2 linked regions of the Oryzias latipes genome follow. The protein of the gene in region 1 binds, or shares a complex with, the protein of each later gene. Links are inferred from orthologs where the notes say so. Each region holds a gene or a part of one and is shown on either strand. Other genes may lie near its edges. The genes, in order: polr3b and polr3gl.

Region 1 (3,921 bases):
AGCGTCTGGAAAAACGCAGATAAATCCAATCAATTATTATTATAGTGATAATCTGCCATACAGTGAGCTTTTATTATTTTATTTTATAGGTTCTGAATGAATCTAAAATCAAACAAAAAGTATTGTTTTGATTTTTCTTGAGCCATTGAATGTGGCATAAATTATAAACTACTGAAATGTTATGAGCCAAAGATGCTTACATTTTTGTAATATTATCGTTTGTAACAGAGAAGATGTTGTGATTTACTCAAAGCTTTAGGGAAATTAAAGTGGAAGGTAAAATTGGACTTAAATAATCTTTTACTTTATTTCTACAAAGATAGACCACACAATTTTTTAAGCTTCTTCCTTAAATGGGATCATCTTGTATGTCTGGAAAACTGCACAAATATTGAGCCTATTATCTAATTTATTAAAATTCGGCCAACTGTTTCCAGAATTTCCTACTTATGGACCTTCTAATTGCTGCTGATGGCACCATTAATAGCTTCATGTTTATATTTTCAATCATTAATTCAAACCTGTAGTGTTTTAAATTTAAGACATTTTCAAAAACACAGAAGTGATTTTAGTTTCTAATTTAGACATAAAAATGTATTTATTTCCAAATTTCAATGCAGAAGGATATGGAGAGCATGTATTTAAGTCTTTAGGGCTGTTCAAAATTGCAAAATATTTATTTTCAATTGCATTAATCTAAGATAGGTATATTTAAAGAAAAAAATTATACAGAAATCGGCTGCCTTTCTCACCTCATGAGGAGAGACGGGTCTGGTAACGTTGAAGCTTTCTTCCACATCAGGCATGCCGACATAGATATTTAGATATCTGCAGGGGGTAAAAAATGTGTTGGATATTTGCTATCAGGAAGTTCGGTTTGAATTTCTGTCATTGAACCTACTTCAGGTACCACATGGGATCAGCATCACTGGTGATTTTCTCATTTGCTTTCATGATCTTCTTTATCTGAAAAGGAAGACGTTTGAACAGAAGTGCAAGGACAAACACAGCAAATGTGGCAAACGCTGATGCGGGGATAGAGCCTCACCTCCACATTGATGAAATAGTTGAAGGAGTCGATGTGCTGCTTCACCAAACCCTTCACCTGCAGAACACACAGAAGATCGAACGTAGGCAGAGACAAGAAGAAATACTGATGCTAAAGCATTCAAACAGCAGTCAACTATGCATATCAAAATAATGCTGTTTTTAAAAGATGTTAATGTTTTTCTATATGGTCTCAATTAAATTCTAACATTTTGGTCTGGTTTTACTGTTTAAAAACTTGACAAGGTTAAAACATTTCTGACATCACAAAAATATGAGACATTTGTGGGCCAACACCCTAAAACACCCTAAAATCTATGAAAAGCCGAGCTTTATGCAAACATTGGATATGGTTTTTTAAATTGTTTTTTTTTTACTTGAGATTACAAAAAGATTAAAATTTTATGGAGCCGATTCCCACATCTCAGTTTTAAAGACTCAGTCTATAAATATATGTGGTTTGTCATCTTCATAATAACAACAACAACAATAATAATATTTATTAAAGTAATAGGATGTTTTAAAAACAACGCAAAATGTTTGAATCTTAAACTATAAAAAGAGATCGGATCATGGACAGAACCCTTTTTTTTTAGGATTTCTGAAGTGCTTGCATTTGCATGATTATTGAAGTTCTCTGATTAATTTTAATTATTAGGGCTTTATAGTAGCATAAAAATGCTCAAAATGAATCAAAAAGACTTTCACATGTCCTCAGCCACCCAAACATTATTACCTTCAAAAAGGCTGGTAACAGCTTCCATTTATCCTGTCAATAAAGAAAAAGATGACAGAGAGAGACAGAGCAGAAATTATGAAGAACTAGCAATGAATGAATTAGTCATTTCCTATAGGAACATCATTTGAATTCATTAGAAGTTTATTTATGGCTCGTGAAACAGACTCGTAAGAAATAAGAACATCAACAAGAATCACAACTTTTACTTTGTTGATTCCACCATGAAACTAACACACGCGCACCACCTCACCGCATTGACTCGTCTCGAGGGGCCAAATTGTGTGTTGTTTTTACGCAAACTCACAGCCACGGTGTTGACAGGAGCCGCCAACTCCTGGGGAGTCATGTCTCCAAATTCTTCACCGAGGACCTCCATGGTTAACAATAGCTGGTTAACCTTTAACTCATAAATAAAACAGTCTTACACCGACTGCTGCTGGAAAACCAACGTTCCGTGTATCGCAGTAAAGCATCCGTACATTCGAGGAGGAACGAAAGAAAGGTTCCGCGTGTTTGTCTTTTTCTTTCACTCCCGGTGTTTTGCACTTTTGGGTGGGTACTGCTGCCCCCTAGTGTTGTGGAAGGGTCCCTGCCCGGCTCTGTCTGTTAGTTGCAGTAAGTGCAGAAAAAACGTAAAAGACATATTGAACAACAATTCAAATTGAATCACTGTTTTCATCAGATAGACAAAAAAGGAGATGAAATTACTCAGTCTGTTAGTTTGTGACCGTCAGCAAAGCACAGAGGAGCCGCGGAGTTATAGGCTCCTTTCAGCTATTAGGCTGTTTAACAAATCTGCCTGATATGAACTGCTTTTTTTATGAACTGTTATTTTATTGTTATTTATTGTGTGTGTTTTGCTGCCAGACACCTGAGTATCTCCCTTGGGAGATTAATAAAGTTCATTTTATCTATCTATGGGACATCCTGGGACATCCTCCTTCGTTAGTCAAGTTCTAGTTTCACCTCACTGTCAGTTTCTGTATTAAATTTATCAAATGTTCCAAGGGATTCATAAATATCATATTCATGGTATAATGTTCAGACTATTGTGCATGTGATGACTTACACAATGAAATGATGCTGACTCATTTTGGAGAGAACAACCATTAGACTGAGAATCAACAATCAGTTTAGATCAACAAGATCTATTCACTTGGAAATTGTGCTAAATGAAGGCTACCTGTACTTAATCAATTGCAAAGATGTACTGAGACATTGAGACAAGTACTAAGACATTTGCAATTTGATGAAACTAATGAGAAATTCCATTCTGCTGTGAACAATTGCAGAGTGGTTTGGAAGTTTGTCCATGTTGTTTTGAGAATGTAATTTCTGTTTCAAGAAATGAGCCAAACCAATGGAGAAAAACTGTAATAAGAATGGTTTTGCAATCATAGTTGCTCAATATTTTACAAGAAAAATTGTATGAAGTAATCCATGGAATGCGAGCCGCCTAGTGGGCCAGTTTTGGTAAGCAGAACTGGCGCTGCAGGATGAACCGACCTGCATGCATGTATGCATGCATGCATACATACATGCATACATACATACATACATACATACAGTTAGATATTAACTCTGTTTGTGATTGATATATTTAATTTAGTTTTGCTTTCATACAACCCTCTGCATTTATCCGGACTTGGGACCGGCACAAGAGAGTTGGATTGTGCTCCCCTGTGGTTGCATTACATTCTTTCTTTCATTGATTCATTCATTCATACATTCATTGATTGACTGAGCGATTGATTAATTGACTTATTAATTCATTGACTGATTAATTGATTGATTGACAAATATTAATTTAAATAAACAGTTTTAATTTCTATAATTTTAACAATAAGCAACAATATTAATAAGTGATGAAGAGTTTTTTTTAGGGCAAACCTGAGCTCCAGGAGAAAACCCAAACTAATTTAAACTTCAAACTTTATTGATTTGTATAGTGCCTTTCATTTTGGCTAAAAACACAAAGCGCCTAACATAAAAGCAGATAATAGTCATAAAATACGAAAAAAAATTGAAACAGAAAACACAGGACAATCCCACACAATTTAACATAACTAACAACTAAAAATAAAGTTTAAATTTTTACACTTTTGACAAAAAGCAACAATATTATTAAGCAATGT
Region 2 (3,921 bases), on another chromosome or scaffold:
AGTACCGGGTGCCATGTCGCCGACCCCTGCTGAACTACGATTGGGATGTCGTGACAGGGCGTCCACATTCTGCCAGAACGATACTTTATCTCATAATCATCATGGCCCATTTAAGAGCCAAGAACTCCAGCTTCATAGAGCTGCAGTTCTGCATGTTACGCTCTGTAGCTTTTAGCCCCCTACTGGCATGGCAATGGCCGCACACTGCCACCCTGCTCCTGGGACAAAACTGCACCAAGGCCATTGTGGCTGGCATCTACTTCCAGAATAAAGGGTAGTGTGAAGTCAGCACAGGCCAAAACTGGCGCTGACGTCAATTTCTGCTCACAGCACCAAGATTCCTGTGGCAGTATGGTTTCCCCTTGGATGCCTCCAGTAGAAGACTTAAAATGAAGAGCACAGGACTCTCCGACAGGAAACCAAGACTGTGCTTTTAAGAAAATAGACACCCTTTATTACAAATAGTATTAAAATTCCTATTCTGAAAGACACCCAAAAGAGTTAACCAAACCACAAGGGCCATCATGCCCAGCCCACACAGTCAGCTGCACCCAGCCGTGCGCTCTGTTGCGGCACAACAGGCTCAATGCCACGCCCCTTGCGTACAGTGGCAGTAACCGACGCCAGTCCAGGGTGGTGGGACACTGGGCTCTGGTTGTGCCCGGGGCCACAGAAGGCCGGAAGGGGGAACCCGCTCCGATAGCTCTCGATCCGGCTTCATCACGCCGCTCCCCAGTGCGTGGATGGACGGCACTCGCTGAAACGGTGTACAGAGCACACACGATCCCCGGAAATCCCGGCCGTGGCACCGCTCCTGGACAACGGTGCACCAAGGGGTCAGCGGGTTGGATAGAGCAGAAATGCAAACAAACGATGGGAAACAAAAGAAACAGCGGCACCTGCCCCCCAGCTCAGGAGGACTCTCCACAGGAGTCGCATGAGCGGCCAAACACTGCCTGCGATCCAGCTATGGTTATGGTTATGGTTATGGTTATGGCCCCACACACAGCCAAAGGCTGTTGTAAACTTAGTTCATAAATGTTAAATGAGCTGTGATGGTAGCATGCTGCTGCTGTTCTGCTGCTGCTGTTCTGCTGCTACTTCTGCTCCAATAAAACATGTCAGTTGACATGGACAGAGTGACTCTATGGGGGGGGGGGCGGGGGGGTCTCGCGCGGGGAGTAATTCAGGGTAGAACCGCCACTGCTATCGACCATAAATGTAGCTGGATTTCTGTCCTCCTGTCCGATAGGGGGCAGAAACGCGCGGCCCAACGCAGAATGCAAGCGCGCGCAAACTGCCGTAGGACATTTCCGGTGGGTAGTAGGCGGGGCGCCTGTAAAGCGAGGTCCGGGGACGGTAAACAACCGTTCGTGGTGGAGTTTGTGAAAGTCTGAACCGAACATGGAGCGCGCCGCGGGAGCGCGCACTAAGCTGCAGCCGTAACGGAAAAGCGGGAACAGGTCAGAGGAGTCATACCCGACCGAGCGCGAGCCCAGGTCAGAAGGGAGCCCGCAGGGTTCTGATGGAGCTTCACGATCAGCCTGATCGATGAGGCTGATGACGTCAGCCGAAGCCCCTGAATCAAAAACCAAAACATTTTCCTCGTTTCTCTGAAAGCAGCTCAGAACCACAGCGACCAGAGAGGCGTGACGTCATCAGGAAGCAGGGGTTCAAACGTGGGTTCTTAGGCCCCACATGCTGCAGTGTCGTCAGTGACATCATCACATACGTCATCAGGGCTGGAATGGTTCCCTGTCGAGACGGATCCGATTCCTAGTCCATATCTAGTCAATGCAGAATTCAGTCGCCGTTTTAACGCCGCCGCCAGTGATTGGTCCGAGTTGGTCTGAGTCATCGTTTCTATAGCAACCACACTGACCAACCAGGAGTGAGCTTGTTGAAAGGCCACACCCACTTGAAAGCAGGTTACAGAAATCAGTCAAACTTGGGGTTAGGGTCAGCAGGCTCCACCCACTTTCATTGAGGCGTCTGATTGGTCAGTTTATACCTTGAACTACAGAAATGAAATGAAAAATGAGGATTATCAGGAAGAGGTTCTAAAGAATCAGATCCAGAGCGGTTCCTCTGACCCATAGAACGACTGAGGAACAGCCGTTTGTAGATGTCTACGGGATTTTCCTGTTTGGAACGCTAGGGGGCGGGGCCACTCGGTCCAGTTCCCACATGCAGTCACTGGTTTATTCCCGTTTTTTCCTCTGGAAATGCCTGTATACTGCCACCTGCTGGAACAGACGCTACATGACATCAGGTTCTGAGGGGATGGAAGGAACAACCGAAAACGATCAAACACACCTGAAAGGCCTTGATGCGCTTCCCTCTGACCTGAAAAGGGGGAGTGGTCATTGGGCTGTGTGACAGGGGCGGGGCTTACCCCGTGGACGTATCCTGATTTACAGTGGGGTCCTGTTGTGTCTTTAGGGCGGTTCTGGCTCGGTCCGGTTTTGTCTGAGGGGGACCAGCCATGGCGGGACGAGGGCGGGGCCGTAGGCCTTTCGGCACGGACTCGAGCATCAGCAGGGGAGAAGGTCTCCCCCCAGGACTTCAGCAGCCCACGCCTGTGTTTCCTGTAAGCCCCGCCCACACCAGGAAAACCCCTCATTTATATTTAAGTGTTATTCTTTTTGGTTGAATGAAATCCCTCTGTTGTTGTTTTCATTGTTTGTTAAAGCTGTTCATGTCATTCTGAACCTTGTGGGTTATTATGGGATGTCACTGACGTCTACGTTAGGCAGACATTTATCGTCTCGACGTGAACCGTAACAAACAACAGATGCAGGAAAGAGGAGCTCTGACATTTTTCTGCTCTGACACCAACAGTTGGGGTAATGCGCTGATTTTGAAGCACTGAATTCTGGGATTTGAAGTTGGTGGATTTGGTGTCCAGGTGATGGAGCAGAAGCCCCTCCCCCTGGCAGGTGGAGAAGAAGCAGAGTATCTATTGGCCCTGAAGCAGGATTTTAGAGGAGTGATGAAGAATCTGCCATTCTTCATCAAGCCAGCAGCAGCACAGCGAGGTCACACACGTGCACACACACACGCGCGCACACACACACGCAGTCTTATTTTGAAAGTCCTGCTTTCTTCCTGTGCAGATGTTCAGCGCTACTCGGACAAATATCACAGCAGCGAGCAGACGAACAGCCTCACGGACTGGAACCTGGGTGAGACGCCGTTACCACGGTAACATCCAATGAAAACGCCATCAGAACCTTCATGTCTGCACGTCTCTGGATTTCAGACTGGAGACGATTCCCCAGAGAGCTGCAGGTCCACATCAGGAGGAGAGTCAGAGAAGGCGAGTAATCCCATTACTCAGTACTCTGGGTACCTTACTGACTCGTCTGAACAGTATTCATCAGCAGTAATCAGATTACTCAGGGGGGTGAGCATCAGCTGCTGTCTCCCTCAGGTCTGGCCTTCAGCACCATGGATAGTTCTGTGCCAGTCCAGAAGAAGAAGAAGAAGAAGGAGGAAGAGGAGGTGCTGCTCAAACTGGAGGTGAAGGGTTTCTATAGAACCTCTGATGATGATGATGATGATGATGATGATGGCTTTAATGGAAGTGTCTGCAGACCCTGGAGAAGAAGGAGGAGCATGAGCAGAGCTCAGAGGAGGAGGAGGGAGGGGTGAAGAAGAAGCCGGAGGAGGAGGAGGGAGCAGAGGCAGAGGAGGAGTATGATGAGGAAGAACTGGAGGAGGTACGTGGTCAGCAGGCCTGGGTCAGAACCACGGAGGCTCTGCAGGTCTAACTGGACCCTCTGTGCAGGAAACCGACTACATCATGTCGTACTTCGACAACGGCGAGGAATTCGGCGGCGACAGCGACGACAACATGGACGAGGCCATTTACTGAGCAGCTGCTGCACGTGCACGCCACGTGCACGCGTGTGACTGAAG

Evidence for each region.
Region 2: polr3b (region 1) and polr3gl share a complex: the UniProt entries of both Homo sapiens proteins name them as parts of the RNA polymerase III (Pol III) complex. The link is inferred for Oryzias latipes from reciprocal best matches to the Homo sapiens genes POLR3B and POLR3GL.

The regions. Positions count from the first base shown.
Region 1 is NC_019864.2:21,468,921-21,472,841, reverse strand, and holds the start of polr3b (DNA-directed RNA polymerase III subunit RPC2), read right to left. Parts: upstream 2,280-3,921; 5' UTR 2,163-2,279; coding exon 2,037-2,162; intron 1,817-2,036; coding exon 1,784-1,816; intron 1,106-1,783; coding exon 1,049-1,105; intron 967-1,048; coding exon 902-966; intron 829-901; coding exon 753-828; intron 1-752. UniProt on the Homo sapiens protein: Catalytic core component of RNA polymerase III (Pol III), a DNA-dependent RNA polymerase which synthesizes small non-coding RNAs using the four ribonucleoside triphosphates as substrates.
Region 2 is NC_019874.2:32,576,276-32,580,196, reverse strand, and holds the start of polr3gl (DNA-directed RNA polymerase III subunit RPC7-like), read left to right. Parts: upstream 1-1,304; 5' UTR 1,305-1,463; exon of another isoform or gene 1,464-1,499; intron 1,500-2,442; 5' UTR 2,443-2,485; coding exon 2,486-2,590; intron 2,591-2,841; exon of another isoform or gene 2,842-2,908; coding exon 2,909-3,038; intron 3,039-3,116; coding exon 3,117-3,185; intron 3,186-3,262; coding exon 3,263-3,319; intron 3,320-3,433; coding exon 3,434-3,522; intron 3,523-3,587; coding exon 3,588-3,722; intron 3,723-3,790; coding exon 3,791-3,877; 3' UTR 3,878-3,921. UniProt on the Homo sapiens protein: DNA-dependent RNA polymerase catalyzes the transcription of DNA into RNA using the four ribonucleoside triphosphates as substrates. Specific peripheric component of RNA polymerase III which synthesizes small RNAs, such as 5S rRNA and tRNAs.